2 linked regions of the Stegostoma tigrinum genome follow. The protein of the gene in region 2 interacts with the protein of the main gene of each other region in a pairwise test. Links are inferred from orthologs where the notes say so. Each region holds a gene or a part of one and is shown on either strand. Other genes may lie near its edges.

The links.
Region 1: the proteins of aqr (region 2) and znf830 interact in a two-hybrid assay, tested with the Homo sapiens proteins (2 studies listed by BioGRID and IntAct, with this or other methods). The link is inferred for Stegostoma tigrinum from reciprocal best matches to the Homo sapiens genes AQR and ZNF830.

What each region holds. Positions count from the first base shown.
Region 1 is NC_081355.1:92,353,935-92,364,371, reverse strand, and holds the start of znf830 (zinc finger protein 830), read left to right. Parts: upstream 1-4,987; 5' UTR 4,988-4,999; coding exon 5,000-5,121; intron 5,122-10,437.
Region 2 is NC_081363.1:64,634,362-64,645,841, reverse strand, and holds the start of aqr (RNA helicase aquarius), read left to right. Parts: upstream 1-6,965; 5' UTR 6,966-7,241; intron 7,242-11,480. Other genes in the region: uncharacterized protein LOC125455427, read right to left, coding at 2,122-2,220, 6,434-6,550, 6,680-6,965.

The DNA of each region.
Region 1 (10,437 bases), on a different chromosome or scaffold from region 2:
CATCTCTTGCCTTCTATTATTTGCCAAATACTATATTGCACAAGGCAAGGTAAATGAATGCATGGCATACCTCTATACTACTATGTCCCTGTACTGTGTGGCATTCCACCTGTTGACTTATACCTCCACCATCTTTTTCTGGTAGAAGCTGGCCATTCTAAGCAAGGAATAGATAGAACTTTATGAGATGCAGCATTGTCAACATTCTCTACAGGGCACTTTGGGAGCCCTGTGCACTGCTTGGTATATAAGTTACTTATTTGGTTGAAATTCAGGCTTTGAAAGAAAAGTAGCTGTGGATTCAAAATGGTTCCAAAGGGTTCAATAGAAAGTTGCTGCAACATTTTCAAGTTACTAAAAAAAAGCTTGTGATGTAGATATAATGCAGTCACTTCTAGTAGCTTTTTATAAATCAACCTGTTTAAGCATGTTATAACAACTATCTGGAACAGGCAGGGCTTGAATCTAAAACTTCTGCCCCAGACGTACAGACACTACCACCGTGCTGCAAAAGCCCTGAGGTCTGGAGTCCAACAGCAATACATTACCTCCCCTATATTAAACCACCTGGTTATTTCAGAGATGTTATTACATATTTCTGGAGCAGGTTAGACTTGAACTCAGGCTTTTGTGCCACAGAGGCCTTATGTGTCACATGAGCTTAGCAAGACATTACTTCCTGATTCCCACATTGCAGTTTTAAAAAATAATTTAACAGTTGTGGTCCAACAAACTTGTGACTCTTGAACCACAGCATTGATTCTTAATTGCAATTTGGACAACTGCTGAAGGGCAAAACATGCTTGCCTAATCAGAGACACTCATATTCCATTGTGAATTACAAAATGTGCTACTGTCATTGCAAAATATATGTATGCAATAAGGAAAATGGTATCAGTTATGTGGACAGGGACCTTTACCTGCTGTGGAAAATTTATACCAAAATTGTTGTTCTGTTTCCACCACACTCAGATCAATAGCTTCCTCGTGTATGATCTTTAGTATTCTGTACTAAAGGATTTTTTTAGAATAAAGCATTTTTCTGGAATTATTTTAGAAATATGCATGCTGTGACTGTGCATATATTGCTGTGCTGAGATTAACTGTTGCATAATCTACATAAATGCTGAACTCAGTCATGATCCATTAGCAGGAATTACACATCAGCAGATAAGTTTACCGTGAAGCAAATCTGCTCAACCAGCAGTACCCCCTCCAAGTTTCATTGAAAAAGTTTGTGTATATCAGCGTTGGCAATGGCCTGATGAGACATTGTGCAATACTGAATTTCTACTTTTGACCTCTAACCGTATTAAGGGAGATTAAAAATGTATCAAGATAGCTAACTTCACCAGATCAAACCTTGAAGTTGTCACTTTGCAGATTAAGATGCACCCATAGGCATGGCCCAAGAAATTGTTTTGCATTTTTGAACTTCCCATTGCATCTCAGTACTGATTTTACAAATCTGATTTTTGTGTAACATATTTGTTTGTATAATCATACCTACTTTTAGGTCGATTTGAAGTGCTACTTACTCTATATTACCAAACTGTACATTGATGAATATAGTACAATAAAATTGTGATGCTGAATTGCAGGAGACCACTCACAAATGTGCGTCAAGCTGAGTTTTGAGATAGCCAAAGAAGCTCAAGCACAACTCAATTTTGCCTAGACATATTTCATGCAAAAACAAGCAAATAAAGACACAGTAACTATGTGAAAAATGCATTTCCTTTTATTTTCAATTTATTCACACTTTACAACGGCCGGAGCATGTACTGTAAAAAGTATTAAAAATGTTGGGGTTATCTCTGGAAAATCTCAATAAACTTTTTCTGCTTAACATGATGTCTTTGGGGAAATGTGATACAGAATGCCATGCTGTCAATGCAGTCAAACATTTTTCAGTGTTTGTGTTCCAGCACAAAACCCAGGCCATTTCCACGGCTGCAGAGCTTTAGTTAGGGAAACGCAGGCATTCATTAGTCTCTTCACAATTATCTGCCATTTCAGTGATACTTACATGGCTTCACAGAAAGATGTTGATGTCAAGTGTCAAGCTTGCCTGGAATCTTGTGCTGCAGTGCAGCCTGACTCCAATCTGATTGATTGGTGTGGTCACATGACAAGTTAACACAAATTCAATAAATCTGGAGTTACCAGTCCAGACTTTTGATATATGAACAGCATCTTTCTGTTAGATTTCCTAACTTATCTACAGCTAGTTCAGTTTTCATGTCCACATTGTTGCTTAATTTAACTTAGAATACTAGTCTTGGACAGCACGTGGATAAACTTCAGAAGTTATTCATCCCAGTCAGGCATAAAATTAAAACGGGAAATGTGGTCAGACCACAGCTTGCAAGGGAAACTAAGAATAGTGTTAAATCCAAAGAAGAGGCATACAAGTTGGCCATAAAAAGCAACAGACCAAAGAACTGGCAACAATTTAGATTCCATCAAAAGGAAAGAAACAGGCAATTAAGAGAGGAAGATAATAAAATGTGAGGCTGGATGAACACAGCAGGCCAAGCAGCATCTCAGGAGCACAAAAGCTGACGTTTCGGGCCTAGACCCTTCATCAGAGAGGGGGATGGGGGGAGGGAACTGGAATAAATAGGGAGAGAGGGGGAGGCGACCGAAGATGGAGAGTAAAGAAGATAGGTGGAGAGAGTGTAGGTGGGGAGGTAGGGAGGGGATAGGTCAGTCCAGGGAAGACGGACAGGTCAAGGAGGTGGGATGAGGTTAGTAGGTAGCTGGGGGTGTGGCTTGGGGTGGGAGGAAGGGATGGGTGAGAGGAAGAACCGGTTAGGGAGGCAGAGACAGGTTGGACTGGTTTTGGGATGCAGTGGGTGGGGGGGAAGAGCTGGGCTGGTTGTGTGGTGCAGTGGGGGGAGGGGATGAGCTGGGCTGGTTGTGTGGTGCAGTGGGGGGAGGGGATGAGCTGGGCTGGTTGTGTGGTGCAGTGGGGGGAGGGGATGAACTGGGCTGGTTGTGTGGTGCAGTGGGGGGAGGGGATGAACTGGGCTGGTTTAGGGATGCAGTGGGGGAAGGGGAGATTTTGAAACTGGTGAAGTCCACATTGATACCATATGGCTGCAGGGTTCCCAGGCGGAATATGAGTTGCTGTTCCTGCAACCTTCGGGTGGCATCATTGTGGGTTAATTAAGAGAGGAAAATGGAGTGTGAGAGAAGGATTGACAGGAACATACAGACCAATGGTAAAAACTTCAACTGATATGTGGTGAGAAAAAAAAAGTGAGAACTAGTTGGCAGACACGAAACAAACAGTTGAGATAAACAAAATAATAACCAAAAGAATTGTGGATGTTGTAAATCAGGAACAAAAACAGAATCCCCCTCATCCTCACGTGCCACCCCACCAACCTCCAGATCCAACGCATCATCCTCCAGCACTTCCACCATCTGAATTCCGACCCTACCACCGCAGACATTTTTCCCTCCCCACCCTTATCTGCTTTCCAGAGGGACCACTCTCTCCGTGACTCCCTTGTCTGCTCCCCACACTCCCCTCCAGCCCCACCTCACCTGGCACTTTTCCCTGCAACCACAGGAAGTGCTACTCCTCCCGCCTCACCCCCATCCCAGGCCCCAAGAAGACTTTCCACATCAAGCAGATGTTCACCTGCACATCTGTTAATGTGGTACTGCATCCGCTGTACCCGTTGTGGCCTCCCCTACGTCAGGGAGACCAAGCAGAAGTTTGGAGACCACTTTGCAGAACACCTACGCTCAGTTCACATGAAACAACTTAACCTCCTAGTCACGAATCATTTCAACTCCCCCTCCCATTCCGCAGATGACGTGTCCATCCTGGGCCTCCTGCAGTGCCACAACAATGCTACCTGAAGGTTGCAGGAACAGCACCTCATATTCCGCTTGGAAATCCTGCAGCCCAATGGTATCCATGTGGACTTCACAATTTTCAAAATCTCCTCCTCCTACCGCATCCCAAAACCAGCCCAGCTCGTCCAAGCTTCCTTAACCTATCCTTCCTCCCACCTCAAGCCTCACCCCAATCTCCTACCCACTAACGTCATCCTGTCCCCTCAGCCTGTCCGTCTTCCCTGGACTAATCTATCTCCTCCCTACCTCCCCACCTACACTCACCTTTACCGGCTCCATCCCCGCCTCTTTGACCGCTTTGTCTCCTCTCCACCTCTCCTCCTTTATCCAAATTCTATCCACCTCCCCCTCTCAATTTCAGAAACCCCTTTCTCTGCCCCATTTCTGAAGAAGGGTTTAGGCCCGAAACATCAGCTTTTCTGCTCCTAAGATGCTGCTTGGCCTGCTGTGTTCATCCAGCTCCACACCTTGTTATCTCAGATTCTCCAGCATCTGCAGTTCCTACTATCTTTACAATGTGTTATCTATATTTTAATCACTCTGTTCAGATATATTATTACAGCAGGTGGGACTTGAACAGAAGGTTCCTAAATTCTATGTTTCTTAGACATACCTTTCTCCTCCTCAAACACGATGTAAATTGCAATCACATTCTAACTGCTGCTACCCAGAGGTACCCTTCCTGTGCGGACGATGTCTGGCAGGCTGAAGCAGGGATCTGCATCCATACACTTTGTGGGAATGACAGTGTGACAAAACGGCTAAGCGATAGCAGGAACTGCAGATGTTGGAGAATCTGAGATAACAAGGTGTAGAGCTGGATGAACACAGCAGGCCAAGCAGCATCAGAGGAGCAGGAAAGCTGACGTTTCGGATCTAAACCCTTCTTCAGAAATACGTCGGGAAACTGACCCCTCAGGAAACCGGGAATGTATGTCGCCAGGAGACATTTCATTTCAGGAACCCGAGCACCATTGTTATGAATTAAATTAATGTCTAATCCTCATCCCACCCGTACAGTAATTATAATAACTGTTACCTTACTCAGCATTCGGCATCTCAACAACGCATCCACTGCCTGGGAAGCAGTTCCGGGTTCACACCGGAAACGGTCTTCTCTGTCAAGATGGCGGCACCTGGTAAGGGGAAGAAGAAAGTTGTTGACCAGCAGGAGCTGCGGCGGTTAATGAGGGAAAAGCAGCGGGCGAGCGCGGCCGGCAAGAGGATCGACTCACCACTCGCTAAATATCCTTTTGGAGGGTCCGGAGGAAATGGGAGTTAGATCTCTTCTGCCAGACCAGGAAACCGTTTAACTCAAAATCAGGAGGATTTGTCAGGCCTGAGGGCGTCTTGGTCCATTTCGTGATCGAGATTTTTCAAATTCACACATCTGAAGTGACACTAACCACATACGCCAGTCAACAGTTTGCATTTACAGTACACCTCATCTTACCCGTGAAGTGCTTGGCATAAGAGGGTTTGCCAGGCTAAATTGAAGGGGGAGGCAAGGAGTCTAAGCATGAACCTGGCAAATTCGTGGGAACAGAAGCGTTTTCCTTGAAAATTATGAGCGAAAATAAAAGGATCCTTGGTTAGTTTAGCTCAAACATTCCCAGGCATCAACAATCGCTCCTCAGCTGTTTGATAGTTGCATTCCTTTCAGATTCCATTTGTGCTCTTCTAACAACTACAGTGTAATTGTTTTTTATCTATCTCTGTGGTTTATTTTATATTGAAACTTGTGGGCTTGATTTCCAAGATTCATTTGAGTCACAGTTCTGGGTCATGTCTTTTGAAGATCTTTATTGAGATTTTCCAGAATAATCAAACATTTGTTATTGGAAAATCTTTCCCAATCATTAAGTAGTTTCATGTGCAGTTTCCTGAATAAGTGGCAATATTATTGTTATGGGATAGCTAAGTTGAGTTAAATGCATGACTTAAAGATTGTTTTGGGTGTAATGGCTTTCAGTTAATGTGGCACTAGTACTAGCTTAGAAGATCAAATCTGGGAATTGAATATACAGGGTATGTGACATTTTGAAAGGCTAGCAAGAGTAAAAGGTTGTGTTGTTTCTTTATTAGTTACGGACATGCTAAACTTAAATAAGGTCAATTAAAAACGGCAAAGTTAGCTGGTGTGGACTAGGAAAGGAGTTTTCAGAAAGATAATTGAGGAACAAATGACAAAGGAATAAAATGAATACTTTGCATCAAGAAGAAACTAATTGCATTCCAGAATAAGAAATACGAAAAAGATCTCGGGGTAGAATGGGGCTAACGTCTGATATATCAGTGGTCCTGATTCATTGCATCCGAGGATTTTAAAAGAAGTAGCTACAGATAGTGGATGAATGGTAATAATCTTCCAGTCCTTAGATTCCATAAATGCCCCAGATTATTAGAAAATTATTAACGTAACACTCTTATTCAAAAACTGACAAGAGACAGAGGAAAGTAACTAGGCCCGTGAGCTTGATTTCTGTCATTGGAAAAATGTTATAGTCTATTATAAAGATGTAATCACAGTGTGTTTATAAATGTTTAATATAATCAGTCAGCATGATTCCATGAAGGGGAAATCATGCTTGAAATGTTTATTAAAGTTCTTTGAGGAGAATAGATAAGGTAAATCGATAGATGTAATGTATTTGGGTTTTCAAAAGCTTCTGCACATTAAGTCTTAATAAGACAAGAGCCATGATGTTAGGGGTGGCATAGTTGCATGAAAGAAGATTGGCTAACAACTGGAAGACAGGAAGTTGGGGTGAGGAGGCATATTCAGGATGGTTGTAATTAATGAAGTACTACAGGGATAAGTGCTGAAGCCATAATTATTTATAATATAGATTAATCACTTGGATGAGGAAAATGATTGTATTTTGGTCACTTTTGGAGAACACAGAAATAAGTGGCTAAGCCTCGTGAGGATGAAACAAAGTGTCTGCAGAAGGATAAAAATAGGTGACTTGATTGGGTAAAGACTTGACAGATGAAGTATAATGTAGCAATATATGAGGTTATGCACTGTGGCAGGGAGAATAGATGAGGTAAATATCAGTTAAATGAGGAAAGACTGCAGGAATCTGCAGCAAAGTGATTTGGGGGGTCCTCATGCATAAATCACAAAAAAGTCAGCATCAGTGTTCAGCGGCTAAAAAGAAAGGCATATGGACTGTTGGCCTTTATTTCAAGGGAATCATACAAAAATAGGAAGGTCTTCTAAAAGCTGCACGATGCACTAGTTGTACCACATCTAGAATACTGTAAATAGTTGGCCCCTTCGTTTAAGGAAAGTTGGCATTGGTGTCAATCCACAGAAGTTTCACTAGCTTGATTGTGGGTAGGGAGAGATTTTCTTATAGGTGAAATTGAGTTGGAGTTTGGAGGAATAAGAGAAAACCTAATTGAAACATTTTAGGTTCTTAGGGGGCTTGACAGAGTAGATGCAGGAAAGTTGTTTTCCCCTTGTATGAGAGTCTAAGACCAGAGGGCATAATTTCAGAGGCTGGAAGTTGTCCATTTAAAACTGAAGAAATTTCTTCCCTGAGTACAGTGAATCTGTGATTTTGTTTTTGTGTCACATGGCTAAAGAGACTGGGTTAAGTACATACAAAGCTGAGATTGACAGACTTTTTATCAGTAAAGGATTCAAGGATTAATGGAGAAAAGGCAAAAAAGTGGTGTTAAGGATTATCAGATCAGGCTTGATTTCACCGAATGACAGAATAGACTCAAAGTACTGAATGATCTACTCTTCCTTCTCCTTCTGATCGTTGGTCTTGTGAAGTCTGCATCAGTGGGCTTTACATTTTCTTTCTTTATGGATTAGGTTTTAACTTTGATGTTATAAAGTAAATTGGACTTCAAAATGATTATTGAGGCTCAGGTTTGTTTTTGGACTGACAACCTGCTCCCTAGCTTTGCAACTATTTCTGTGTCTGCTAAGCTGGTTTTTACAAATCCACAGAGTTGTAGGAACCTCTTAAAATTACTTCCTACTGACCGTTGCCTTGTCATCTGTAGTTTTCTCCCCCTTGCTTCTGCCACTTTGCACATTGATCTGCTGTTTATCTCCAAGCCTCCTATCTGATTATTGTCTTGTTGTATCTCAACAACTTTTCATGAGCATAGATACATGAAAAATAAATTGTTATTTTGACAGAGAAGACAGGTTGAAGTCAAATATAGGAACAGGGCACGCAAAAGAGGCACTGCAAACAAGTGGACAGGCAAACACAGTGAGCAGTTTGGTAATCACATGGGAATTTTCCTCCCCCCTTTATCAAGGTGAAAACACCATGCACATCATCAGCATTCTTCCAACTAAAAGAGATAATGTATATACAATAAACCAAAGCATTTAGGTTGGGGTAGTTACAATATGCCCTTTGGATGATTTTTTTAAAGAGACCAATCAATGAGATGCAGGTTTTGCTGAAGTGCTGCAGATTAAGTGGTTTCAAATATTATTATGGGAAGTGTTGGCAGCAGCTGCCACTGATTATCGTGGTGATTTTGGTGATTTTTCTGTTTTCCTCTGTGTGAAAATCAATTTTCAAGGCCTTTTATAAATAGCAAAGATGAAAGTTGCTGAGCTCCCTTTCTTGAAAACTGTAAAACGTTCTGGTTCTTTTAACTGTGCATATATTAAATCTGTCACCATGGACTTAATGTTGCAGAATTTGCTAGTTACTTGCAGTGGATTCTTGTTTAGAGTGGCCAAGGATTGATTTACAACGCTGTCCACAACAAGTTTTCTTGACAGTGATAGACAAGGAGAACCGGTTACAAGCTTGAGAGAGATAACCCCTGAGTCTTTCTCACAGTCTCTATTGGAGCAAATGCTGCAGTGTCATTACCACAGAGAAGTGCTGTGATCAGGACTTATCAGTCTGAGTGAATTGTAGAGTTCATTGTCTGCATCCATAACATTAATTGTCGAAAAAATATCAGATTCAGTGAATTCAAAAGATGTTGATGAAATGTCAGAAAAAAATTGAAGCTTTCACATGTCAAAAGTGCTGTTTCCTAAAATAATTCACATCATGAAGCCATGAAATATATGCTTGTGTATTATGGGGCCAACAATGTTGATTGATGGCCACTAACAATAATTGTAATATTAAATGGTTGCTTACACCATTTATTGCTAGATTTAACTTTTTGCACAAGTTTAATGGCTTGTTACACATGTACTTCAAACTTCTGGGAGTTGAAAGATTGTATATAATACTGCCAAAGCTAGCTGTGCAAATGATCCAGAAAAACTTGCTCACTATAAGTTCCTAGCCAATTTCTATATTCATAATGAAAAATCTTGGCTATTATCTTTTAGATTAGATTCCCTACAGTGTGGAAACAGGCCCTTCGGCCCAACAAGTCCACACCGCCCCTTAGAGCATCCCATCTAGACCCATCCCCCTGTAACGCACACACCCCTGAACACTACGGGCAGTTTAGCATGGCCAATCCACCTAGCCAGCACATCTTTGGACTGTGGGAGGAAACTGGAACACCCGGAGGAAACCCACGCAGACATGGGGAGAATGTGCAAACTCCACACAGACAGTGGCCCGAGGTTGCATCTGAACCTCGGTCCCTGGCACGGTGCTAACCACTGAGCCACCGTGCCTCTTTTAGCAAAGTGAGTTATCAGATAATCCAAAAACCCATTCCTGTCATGTTGTTACTACTGAAGATGCATGCTAAATTTACATTTGCTGATTCTTAAGTAAAATGGAATAATTATATCATTTTAAAATACAAAGACTTTGTTGTGGTGCAGATGAATTATTGAACCCTATTTTGCAAATGCAATGCTGATGAGGAAAATGTAATGAACAAACTGGTGACAATTTTGAAATTTTTATCTTTATTTAGAGTATCACGAGACAATGAAATTCTTTCTGTACTGGAAACGAAAACTTAAGCTACATGTTTCACTGAATAGCAGTCATTACATACTGTTGGCATGTCTTTTGCCTCAATTAAAGCTTTGGCATATTTTAAAATTAGAATTGAATTAGAATTAGATTTTGTTGTCACGTACTTAAATATAGGAATATATGAGTATGGTGAGAAGCGCAAAGTAGCCATTCTCCAATACCATCTTGGTTACAAAGCCAGAATTTAAATACAAAACAGCAGAAATAAAAAAAAGCCAAAAGATTAGGAAAGCATCCAGAACTTCAAGTTTTATCTCCATAAAGGTGTTTGGAGTCACTGATGCAGGTACATGGTCTAGCCATGGCCTAGAGTCTCAGGTCAGTCTGTGAGCCTTGCATCGGTTGCTGGGAGGAGCCACATTCTTACTGCTGATGTCCTGCCTCGATCGCTAGGTGAGCTTTGCTGCCGCTGCTGCTGTTGCCGCCGCTGGCCCCAAAGACTGGGAGGAGCCACATCCTTGCTACCACTGCCACCGCCATCAGTTAATCTTTCAACTTGAATGCATTTATAGTTTGAGTGGTTTCATAATAAATTGTTTGTGTAGCAGTCATGTTGTTTTTCCAGTAAACATTTGTTTTCTGGAAACTCAGCCAACTAGCCGCGTCTATGGAGAGA
Region 2 (11,480 bases):
GATTTGCCTAAGTTAACATGCAGGTTCCGTTGGTAGTAGGATGGCAAATGCAATGTTAGCATTGATTTCAAGAGAGCTAGGGTACAAGAGCTGAGACGTTGTGCTGAGGCTGTGTAAGGCTCTGGTCATATAGCATTTGGAATATTGTCAGCAGTTTTGAGGCCCATATCTAAGGAAGGATGCACTTGCATTCGCAGGTCTACAGGAGGTTCACAAGAAAGATCCCGGGGATGAAGAGATTGTCATATGAGGATTGGTTGAGGACTCTGGCTCCGTACTCTTTGGAGCTTAGGAGGATGAGGAGTGATCTGATTGAAACTTAGAGAATACTGAAGAGCCCTCGATAGAATGGATTTGCAGAAGATGTTTTCACTAGTAGAAGAGATTAGTACCCAAGGGCACAGCCTCAGATTGAAGAGATGACCCTTTAGAACTGAGAGGAGGAGGAATTTCTTTCGCTAGAAGGTGGTTAATCTGTGGAAATCCTTACTACAGAGGAATGTGGAGGCCACATTATTAAATGTATTTAAGACAGGAGCAATGAAGTTTTTGATTGGTAAGGGGATCATGGGTTACATGGAGAAGGCAGGAGAATGGGATTGAGAAACATTCCAGCCATGATGGACCAAATGGCCTGATTCTACTTCTCTGGTCTTATGATTGTGAGTGAAAGTTTAGTTTTGATAGGCATATTGTTTTCATACATATCTGTAATGTTACTGAGGGGAGATCACATAGTTAATATGAGAGAGGGGGCCAAGGCAGGCACTTTGCAATTCATTGGAAGTGACCATTCAGCTGTAGGTTGGAGAAATATTTGAAGAGAATACAATGGCTTTATTAACAGGTGGGAATGATATAGCACAGTCTCCTACATGGATAAGCTATCAAGCAGGATTCAAGGTTAATCTTGTTGTGAGTTCCAGGCATCAAGTAGTAATATATTTAAGTTATAAGACTACAGAAATTCATTGCCTGGACAGCTAAAATATCTTTTTTCTACGCATATAACTGCACAGTTTTTGTTTACTGCTCCAGATATCCACAAATTGATACTCAGCTTTGGAACCTCAGTTGCCTCTTGTGGTATCAGTGCTTTGCATTTTGTTTAGAATTCAATTGAAATTATACTTCAAAAGCCTAGCCTTCACAGCTGTGTTCCAAAGACACCAGTATATAATGTTATGTCATTGAGCTGACATTTCTTGTCTCCATTTCCCAGTTGCACAGTATTTGTTATATAAGTCTTTGTTCACTCTCCAAAGCCTACAGGGTACTCACATTTTTTACCCAAATCTGAAGTCTGCACCGGAGACGTCAGTGTGAGAATTAGGCATATTTTTACAGCTTTCCCCAAAATTGTTCCACTATTTTGAAACAAGAGAATTGAAGGAACAACAGCTCTTGATATACATTACTGATTGATTCAAGTGTCACAAGGTTCAACAGAGGTGTTAGGTGACATCCATTTGACTGGAGCAATTCCAATGCCTGCATCCCAGCACTGGACATGTTTTGTGATGAACATTTTCGTTATAAATCCTGGTGTGAATTTACTAAATAGGTGTGTGCCAGATTTGTACTGAAGCTAAAATGTATGCAAACAATGTTTTTTTAAGTGTTCCTTCATTGTACTTTCATTCATATTCAATTGTATGACGAATGGTCAAAAAATTATATGGCAACAATAATTTCTAACAATGAATACACTATGGTAGACTTAAGTTATATGAATGTCATAAACTATAATAATGTAACTGCTTTGAATCAAATATTACTGGTTAGGAAAGATAATAAGTGTGGTATTCAGGGAAACTGAATGATTTGTCAAAAATGCCTCAATCCCAGCTGTAAACTCTGGTCTATTTTAGTTACTTTATTTGCAAATACAGTCTTTGCATTTGCCCCTTGACAGCTATCAGGACTCATTTATCTTTCATCCTATTCAGCTGTCAGGCAGGAATAGCGCACCTAAAGTGTGATCTGACCTTAGTCCCTGAGCCTGCTTGTAAGTTTGAGTTCAAATCATTTTCTTTAATTTCAGGTCCTCCGTCACAGGCGAACAGCCTGGCAGTGCCAAGCACCTGGAGATGGGTACGGAAAATAGGTGCTGGTGCAGACCTGAGAGGGATGCAGCAGCAGGTATGGCCAGTGACATCAGGGATTTCGGGCTATTGCCAGAAGTTCTAACTAGAAGACCCATATCACTGTTCCCTGGTCCTGCAAAACAGAAAAAAAAGACTTGGTTTGAATTTTGTTTCCTTTATTGCCAAATCTTTAACATCAATACCTTTACACTGCTGAGAGGGAAAAGTGAGGTGGAAGGTCAGAAAAGTCTCCTTATGTCTCATTAATATGGCAGCTTTTAGCTGGAGCCTATGAAGATCATAAATATGTCACATTTTTATATAATTTGAAGGTACTTGAGTTGCAATGAGTCAGTTCATATGTATGCCTCTGGAAATCCACATATATTTGAGAGGAGTGCTGGGCTTGTCAAATTACAAGGTTTGCTGTGCAAATATAAAGGATGGAGATTTATTCCAGGGCATGGGAAAGCTGGAGGGAGTAAATGCCGTGATTAACTGACAGTGTCATTTGAGACATTGCCAAATGGAAAAGGTCCTCACGCAGCTGGATTCTTTGGTTCCTACAACTTTATAATGGCCTCTCCCTCGTGATGTTGTGTGGCCTCTTGCTCCAGCTTATCCATATGGGGTCCTCACCGAAGATCAAAGTTATGATTCATGCAGCACACAGAATGATTCATGAAACTGTACCAGAGAATCTGTCAAAGCAACAGAATCAGTGACAACTCCTAAAGAACACATGCACCTCATTAAATCTGTGCTGCTGCTCTCTACAAAAGGTGCAAAGAGATCATGAGCCACAGCTGCATGTTTCTGGTTACGTTTCTGGTTTCCTACTTTGCACTGTTCAGTCAAAATAAATAACAGAGACTGGACTATCTTGAAACAAGTGCATCATAACTTCTGCTAGGGAAGTATGCATTCACCTGCATTATCCTGTGAAAATGGTCACATAGATTGTTGAATAGTCCTTCAAGCTCCTGTACAATGCAGTATTCTCTGAAGCAACAATGAGTTTCATTTATATATCACCTGTAACATATAAAGCTACCTAAGGTGTCTAATATTTGCCACTCAACCACACAAAGCAAGATTAATACAGTTGACCTGTGGAGAAAGAAATAGAATTAATATTTGAATCAAAGCTAACTTGAAGGGTCCCGACCTGTAACATCAAGCTTTCCTGCTCCTCTGATGCTGCTTGGCCCGCTGTGTTTATCCAGCTTCACACCATGTTATCTCTTCTTCAGAACCTTGATGTTTTGTTTCTCTCTCCATAGATGCTGCCAGATTTTCCAAAGTTTCCAGCACTCTCTGTTTTTTTTTGCCCCCAGCATTTACAATAGCATATTTCTAATTTGGATTAAGTTTCAATTCTTGTTTTCAGGAAAAAAAGGAAGCTATACAGATATAGCGAGAGGATTCCAGCGCATTGAATCCAATCAACTACAGGTGTGGTCACCAATGATAAGGCGAATAATACCGAGGATGTGCCAAAGGCCATCAATGAAGGAATTCAGAGAGTTTGAAGAGTTGTGGGGTTGGAAGGGATTACAGGCATAGTGAGAGGTAACATCGCCTCATGGAGAGATTTGAAAATAAAGATGATTTTTAAATTAAAGCATTGCCAGACCAACCATCAGTGTAGATCAGTGCGCGCAGGTATGATTGGTAAACGTGAATTGTTTTGAGTTATGACATAGACAGCAGAGCTTTGGATGAACACAATTTTATATAAATGGGAGGCTGACCATTGGAATTATCAAGTTTACAGTAAACCATAACTTGTATGAGGATTTCAGCAGCAGAAGAGCTAAAACAGGATTGAAGTTAACCAAAGTTACAGAGATGGAAGTAAGCAGCTTGTTGATGAAGTGTGTATGTAGTTGAAAGCTCAAAATGGCATCAAATAAAATAATAAGAGGACAAACAGTCTGATTTAGCCATAGACAATGACTAGGCAGTGGAACGGAGCCACTGGTCAGAGAGTGGGTTTGTGGGAGAAGACCTGTAGCTTTGATCTTCCTAATAGTTAGTTGAAGGAAATTTACACTTACTTAGTTGGATAAGCAAGGGAACAAATCAGAGAGAGCTAGTGATGAGGTGGGTCTGGGTCTCATCAGTGTACATGTGGAAATTGATAGTTTGATTTCCAAAGATGCTACTTTGGGGCAATATGTAGTTGAGAAAAAAAAACAGAGCCAAGGAGCAAACAGTTGAGGTCGCAAAGTGAAACTTCGGCTACAACTGGACAGATAGAAGTGGATTAGATGAGTCAGCCAGTTGATTGCCAGAGGTACGGGCTTCAAGAAGAATAGGAAGTGTTCATTTCCCACAGTCACAATGAAACAAAGAATATCATTTGTGACTTTGACAGCAGTCGATTTTTTTGGTTCCATGACTGAGTTTAAGCTGACTGGTGGGAATCAAATGTAACATTCTGGAAATGTTGGGGATGGTTTTTGGAAGTGATAGCAACTTTGAGGGCTTTGGAGAGGAAAGAAAGATTTGAGATGGTCTGACACTTTGAAAGAGGGGTCAAGAATTTTTTTTTCGCAGATGTCATAACAACAGTGGATTTGAGGGGACCGTGGCAGTATCAGATGATAGTGGAACATGTGTGAGTAAGAGAATTGAGATGATAATCTTGTGAGCTATATTATCTGCAATGTTTGCACTTGCTTAGCAAGGTTTTCTTCCTGTTATGCAATTTTACTTAATTTGTCTACCATTGAAAAGAAACAGAGCTGAAGTCAAGAATGTACAAATTCTTGAAGGATATTACCCTGAATATCCTTAGCTTTGCTATCTGCCAGTCTAATTTTGTTCAAACTAAAATTTCTCCCAAAAAATCAAAGCCATCTTTTTCTGTCACTATCGTGTGTTCTGTTCATTTGTCATAGACTACAATTGCATCCCCAGCCACTTGCTCAGGTGAAATCAGGTTGTATGAAATCTCAGCACACAGTCTAGTATCAATTCCCACATCCTGTCCAAAAGTGCTCATTTTTACCCTCACAATGTGTGTCACTGTTGTCCGTGCCTAAACCCCCCATACAATAAAAATACTTATCCACTCACTGTTCTGCCATTTGTACACTTGATTTGTACGATATATTCTTTGACATCCTCACTGACCAATTTGTCCAAACTCATACAATGTCTGTCCCTTCAATTTCCACTGATGGACATTAACTCCCTGTGTCCCAGCAATGTGAATTCAAAATCCTCATTGTTTTCATTATCAATGTAACCGCCTCTACAGGCTTCTGCAACTTAAATTTCTTTTCTCGAGCTTTGCAACCTCTTCCTCTGGATTTCTCACCCGGTCCATTATGTCAATTCTGCTCAGTCAGAAGTCACACCACACCAGGTTATATAACAACAGGTTTATTTGACATCACAACCTTTTGAAGCGCTGTTCCTGCACGTGACAAAGAAGCAGCGCTTCCAAAGCTTGTGATTTCAAATAAACCTGTTGGAATATGACCTGGGTTTTTTTTCTGATGAAGGGTCTAGGCCCGAAACATCAGCTTTTGTGCTCCTAAGATGCTGCTTCGCCTGCTGTGTTCATCCAGCCCCACACTTTGTTATCTCGGAATATGACCTGGTGTTCTGTGACTTCTGACTTTGTCCATCCCAGTCCAACACCGGCACCTCCACATTCAACATTAGTGCCAAAGTGTTGTCGCGCTTTGTCGTGACATCATCATGATCCTTTATTTCAGTCAGCATTTTGAAGTCCACCTAAAACACATGCTTCAGCTGAGTGTTCAATCCTATCTCCTGGCTCAGTGTCATCCTTTTATTTTTTATTTCTCCACAAACTGCTTTGTGAAGTGGACATCAAAGGGTGTTTTTCCCCCCTGTTTTACAGCGTCAATGCCTCCTTAAGAGATCTCTTCACAGATTCTTGTTTTGAAAGAATATCAAACTTCGGGCAAGAAGCATACAGCTCAGGAGAAAAGCCACGTACTTCCTCATGTTGCACCATTGATTCTGAATATCACCATCAAATGAAGTTCTGGCGCATTCAACGCCAGAATTTATTAAGTGGTACAGCTCAAGGATTCTTAAATGTACGAACTCGCCAATTTGGCCATTCACACAGTCCCTGTTACTTTTAAAAGCCCTGTAAAGACCAGTACTTCCAATGATCATTCCCTCATATCGTCACATAGTTTGATTACTTTGGGGGCAATTAGGCGGAACTTAACGTGGTAAATATAAAAATACGTCAAACTTTAGCCCACGTTGCACAAACCCGCGCATGATTCGTCACCGTTTTTTTTAAAGACTGCATGGACTAAAAAGCTTTTGTTTTATTTTTTAAATAAGTGTACCTATGTTTTCAGATCGAAGCACCTTGCTGCTAGTAATGTAGGTTTGAAGTCGGCCCCATGCTATTCGAGCGTCTTGCTTCCAGTCCTCTGATTGCATTCCTTGCTCCTTGTTTGCACCTTAAGAGGGTTCAAATCACAGGCTGGTTATTGCAAATAGTAGGTTCACATTGCTTACTAATTATTGCACCACTTTCCCCTTTCTAGTTCTAGGCTCGAGTTATGACCATAAATCGCAAATGAATACACCTTCTGCTCCATTAACGCGGCCCCAGCTGAAGGTGCAGTTTGCAAATGTTTGTGCACCGTCCCTCATGTTGTGTTCAACTGTTGCCGGGACAGCAGCGGACACGGAAGAGCGGAAAAGGCGTAAAAAGGCTGCGAGATGACATCCGCGGACACGGCTCTCGCTTTGAGTCTGCTGGGCGGCCACTTTGCCCATTGCTATGAATGAACAATCTTTGCTACATGAGGGTGTCGAGAACTCAACAAATACGCTAGCATTCGTCTTCTGTGGCTGTTTTCTTCGACGCATTCACATATTGCTATGGCAACATTTAAGACTTGAACTACAAAATCGAGGAGTTGGCCGGGAAAGCTTGACAAGCACAGCCTGTCAGATGGTGCCAGCAAGTTAATTGTATCACCCCTTGTGCCTACTACCTCAGGCGTGGCCATCAATCATTGAGGGACAGGAGCTTACAAAACTATGATTCAGGAAAAAAAAATCATAGATCAACTTGTGCCATCTGCTACAGGAATACTTGAAGTTAGTCCTCAGTTCAGGAGGAACTTCACTTTCTCTTTTCAGGTTAGCACTGGGCGCATACTCAAGTTGGCCAGTTTCCTGCCAATAGATGCAATAAGGGCGCAACAGATGCATAATTTTAAAACGCCCACATTTGTTTTCATTGCTTTCCTCAAGTAAATGTTCAAAATATTATCAGCCTATTTAAATCTCCTAAAAGTTAGCATTTGCCTTCCATAGCACTCCAATTTGGGACACTCATATCTTATAAATTTAACAAATTTACAACACATTGCCTTGAAATAGTTACAAATTAAGGCCTTAAAATAAAAATAAGACATTTTAAACTTCAAACATGTTCATACTGGGAAATTTTGAAAGAATATAGTAAAATTATTTTTTTCGTCGCTGCATGTAGGGCAAATGCTAAATAAGGCAAGTGTCTTCAGAGGACTTGTATAAATATCTTTCTGTTGTCATCACTATAATTGGGACATCCTGAAACTGAATAGTGCCCGTGAGAAAAAAAAGCAGCAATGCGCAAAGCTCCCCAGCAGAACTACCAAAAACTGCATTCCTATCCCAAATGCTGACCTGAATTCCATTCTTTAAACACAAGGTAAATTAAAAGTCTGTTACTATTACTTGACACTAGGAACAAAACAATAGGACCATTGAGAAGGAGAACCATGTTTGGTTCTTTACATTGTGTTTATGGATATACTTCATGGATTATGAACAGGACTGACAAAATATTAGGCATTTAGCACATTCTTGGATTATTTTCTGATATAGTGTGTAAGGAGTTTAAAAAACACATTCACAGTAACACATGTCCTAGTTTATTTCAACATGGGATTTGCACCAAATTCTCAAAATGCAGCCAAGTTCATACACAATATAACAAGCAATTCAACAAAAAGCAGAAAAAAAACAGTTCTGAACTTAGGTTTAGGAAATGTAGCTAGTCAGACTAGCAATAGGAGAATATTTTTGTTTTAGTAATTATAATTCAGGTGGATTTGCTGTAGTTATAGAAGAGGACAAAGATAGACCAGGATCAAAAGATTCCAAGTATGTTTAGTCAGTTTTATTCACCTGAATTAGCAAGCTGAGAGGCAGTCAGAGGAAATAAACAGGATTCACAACAAGTATTTCCACAAACAGAAAGTGAGACTCCTAAGCTTAGAGCCATAGAATGTCAAAGAGCATACACATGTGAGACAAACATTGGGAAGTTTACAGAGATATCAAAACTTAATTCTGTTTTGACAAGTGCAGAAAGTGCAGGGGTAACATTGAAATAAAGGAAATTAGGAAAACAAAGAGATATCATGAAGTTAAGTCAAAGAAAATTCAAATATATTTCATAAATATATGAAGAGCAATAGGGTTTCTAAGGGCAGTTAAAAACCAAAATAGGTAACCTGTATGTGGAGGCAGAAGGTGTGGGCTTTATTGTTAATGAACACATTGGAAGTACGAAGGGAGTTCGTATTTTTGAAAGTAGATATCAGACCCAGATGAAGTGTATCCCTGGAAAAATATATTTAAGGCTTTGACCATAATTTTCCTGTGTCCTCTTGCAGCAAGCATATAATCTATAAATTTGAGGACTGCTAATGTTGTATCCTTGTTTAAAAATGAATAAGGGGGTAGACTGAGCAATTCCAGGCCAGTCAGCCCAATGCCAGTGACAGATACATAACTGAAAAAGGTTCAAAGGAATGGCATCAACCTTTATTTAGAAAGACAAGGATTATTCACAATAATAATTCAAGTCAATAATCTTTAATCATCTAAGTTTAACTTTGTCAGACCCACTGAATATTTCTTGAATGTTCTATTTTTGCCTCAGATTCCAAGCATCCATAGTGTATTCTTTCTGTAATGATTAATTGAAGCGTCGACATGGATTTCTTAATGGAAGGTTGTATCTGACTAAGTTGATTGAATGTTTTTGTGGAGGTAACAAACAGGGGCAATGAAATTAGAGTGTTTTTGCATAGTCTATCTGGATTTTAACAAGGTGTTGACAGCATTCCTCATGAAGGACTGATCAGAAAAGTGTGAGCTCCAAGGGCAAGTGGTAAGTTTGATTGAAAACAATTTTGTAGCAAGTAATGAATGGGAATAATGTGACCACGATTCTGCTTCCAGTGGGGTCTATTGGGCTCAGCACTGACCCATTGATTTGCCAGGTATGTATCAATGATGCAGGGGACATGACTAAGAATGTTGCAGGTGATATGAAAATTGGCTACATGGTTGAGAGAAAAATATAAACCAGCAGCTTGCAAGAAAATGTTAATGACTTGGTGAAATGGGTACAAAGTGGTATGTGAAACGCAATCCAGGGAAAAGAGATAATGCACTTGGGAAGTCAATAAAACAAAGGAAAACAAAATAAATGGTGACAATTATAGAGGAACAGAGAGACCTTGGAATGCTTGTCTACAGATCTCTGAAAATAAAAGGATAGATGGTGAAGATGACAATGAAAATATGTAGGTACAAAGTTATTGAAGTTAAGCAGCTATTTATTAGTTGAAATATATGTTAGAAGAGCGGGGAGGCTGAATTAGCCTGGCCAATGCTGGAGAATCACATGTAGTTCTGATCATTCTGATCACAATTGAGTGACTACAAGGGATATTTAAGAGAGAGGCAGACTGCCTGTAACAACGGAAGGCCGGCTGCACCACATGCTATCAGTAAACACTACTTGGCTCACTACTGACCACAGAAGCAGGCAGCAACATGCCAGACACCTGGTGCTATGCTCTAATCGGGTAAATGAGTTGGCAACACCAGATTCTCCACAGAAACTCCACAGGATCAGTATAACCAGGTCACAAATCACAAACCCTGTGTCCAAGAAATGGTGCAAAGCAGCTTATGGCATTTTTGTTGTAAAAACAATTTTACTTTTATTTTTGACTTTTTTTATTCCATCCAAGTCTAATTTTCATATCTCTCTCTTTCTGTACCTAATTTTAAACTGAATTCATCCTTTCTAATTTACAAGTCCTCGTGCATTTTATTCACAATTTTAATCTGATTGATTAAGGAGATAAATGGATATTCGATGTTCAGTCAAATCCCAGATACATGATAAAAACCAAAATAACTGTGGATGGTGTAAATCAGAAACAAAAACAGAAATTGCTCGAAAAGCTCAGCAGGTCTGGTAGCATGTGCAGAGAGAAATCAGAGTCAATGTTTCAGGTCTGGTGACCCTTCCTCAGAACTGATGGTAACCCCCAGGTTGCCTCACTCCAAATTCATCAGATCACACTCTCAACAACTTGTAACATGTTGAGTTTAAATGAACAATGAGTTCAACGAAAGATGAATGGTGCTTAATGCATTGCTACAGCAAATTATGGCCCATTGATGAAAATAGATGAACCCATGACACAGTTAAACAAAAATTTCAACAGGGACTTAATGAAAATCCTTATAAAGGGTAGAAAAAATACTTGAAGTACTATCTTTGAAAGTAAATGCTGAAATAAGTTGCATTGACAGCAACACAGACAGCTGAACAAAAAGCTGTGTAACTTTAGCAGGATACACTTGTTTTATATATATATATATATATATATATATATAGCTCATCTTGTCCCCCATACAATAAAATATATTCAACAGCACTGCCCATGTCCCCTTACCAACTCCAGCACACACACCGAACCTGTACCAAAAATCCTGTACAGTCAGTGCTCTTGTGCAAATGGGCATACTGCCTACAAAATTAGAGCCACACATGTATTCCATATCAACTGTGCTTTTCATAAGTTTTTTTACATTCGAATTTCCTTCTTTAGTTTATATTTATTGATTAATTTCTCTGAGCTTGGAATACAGGTGGTATTTCAAACAGTCTCCTTATGCAATGAAATAAATTATCTGTTGACTGTTAACCTATATTGAATATATAACGTGAACGCCACATACTGTGAGTGTACAGGATATTTGCCATGGACACCCTGCATGGAAACTATTGTATAATGAAAACAACCTGGGTTTATTGAAGTTGGCTTGTACAGTGAAGAGCGGGGAAAATTGTTAAATTTAAGGAAGTTAAATGTTAAGGATGTTAAAATAAAAATAATGAATCTAGTTCTTTATACTGTGAACTTTTGGTCATATTTTTACTCTAATTTAAGGGATTAAACCCAATCTCCAAGAATGTGAAATGTCTTTATGGAAGACTTAAAATGTTTGTTGGGGGAAGGTATAAATTAATAGCAGACACAAATGTGTACAGTAGATAAGAATTAAAGCCAGCATAGCTAA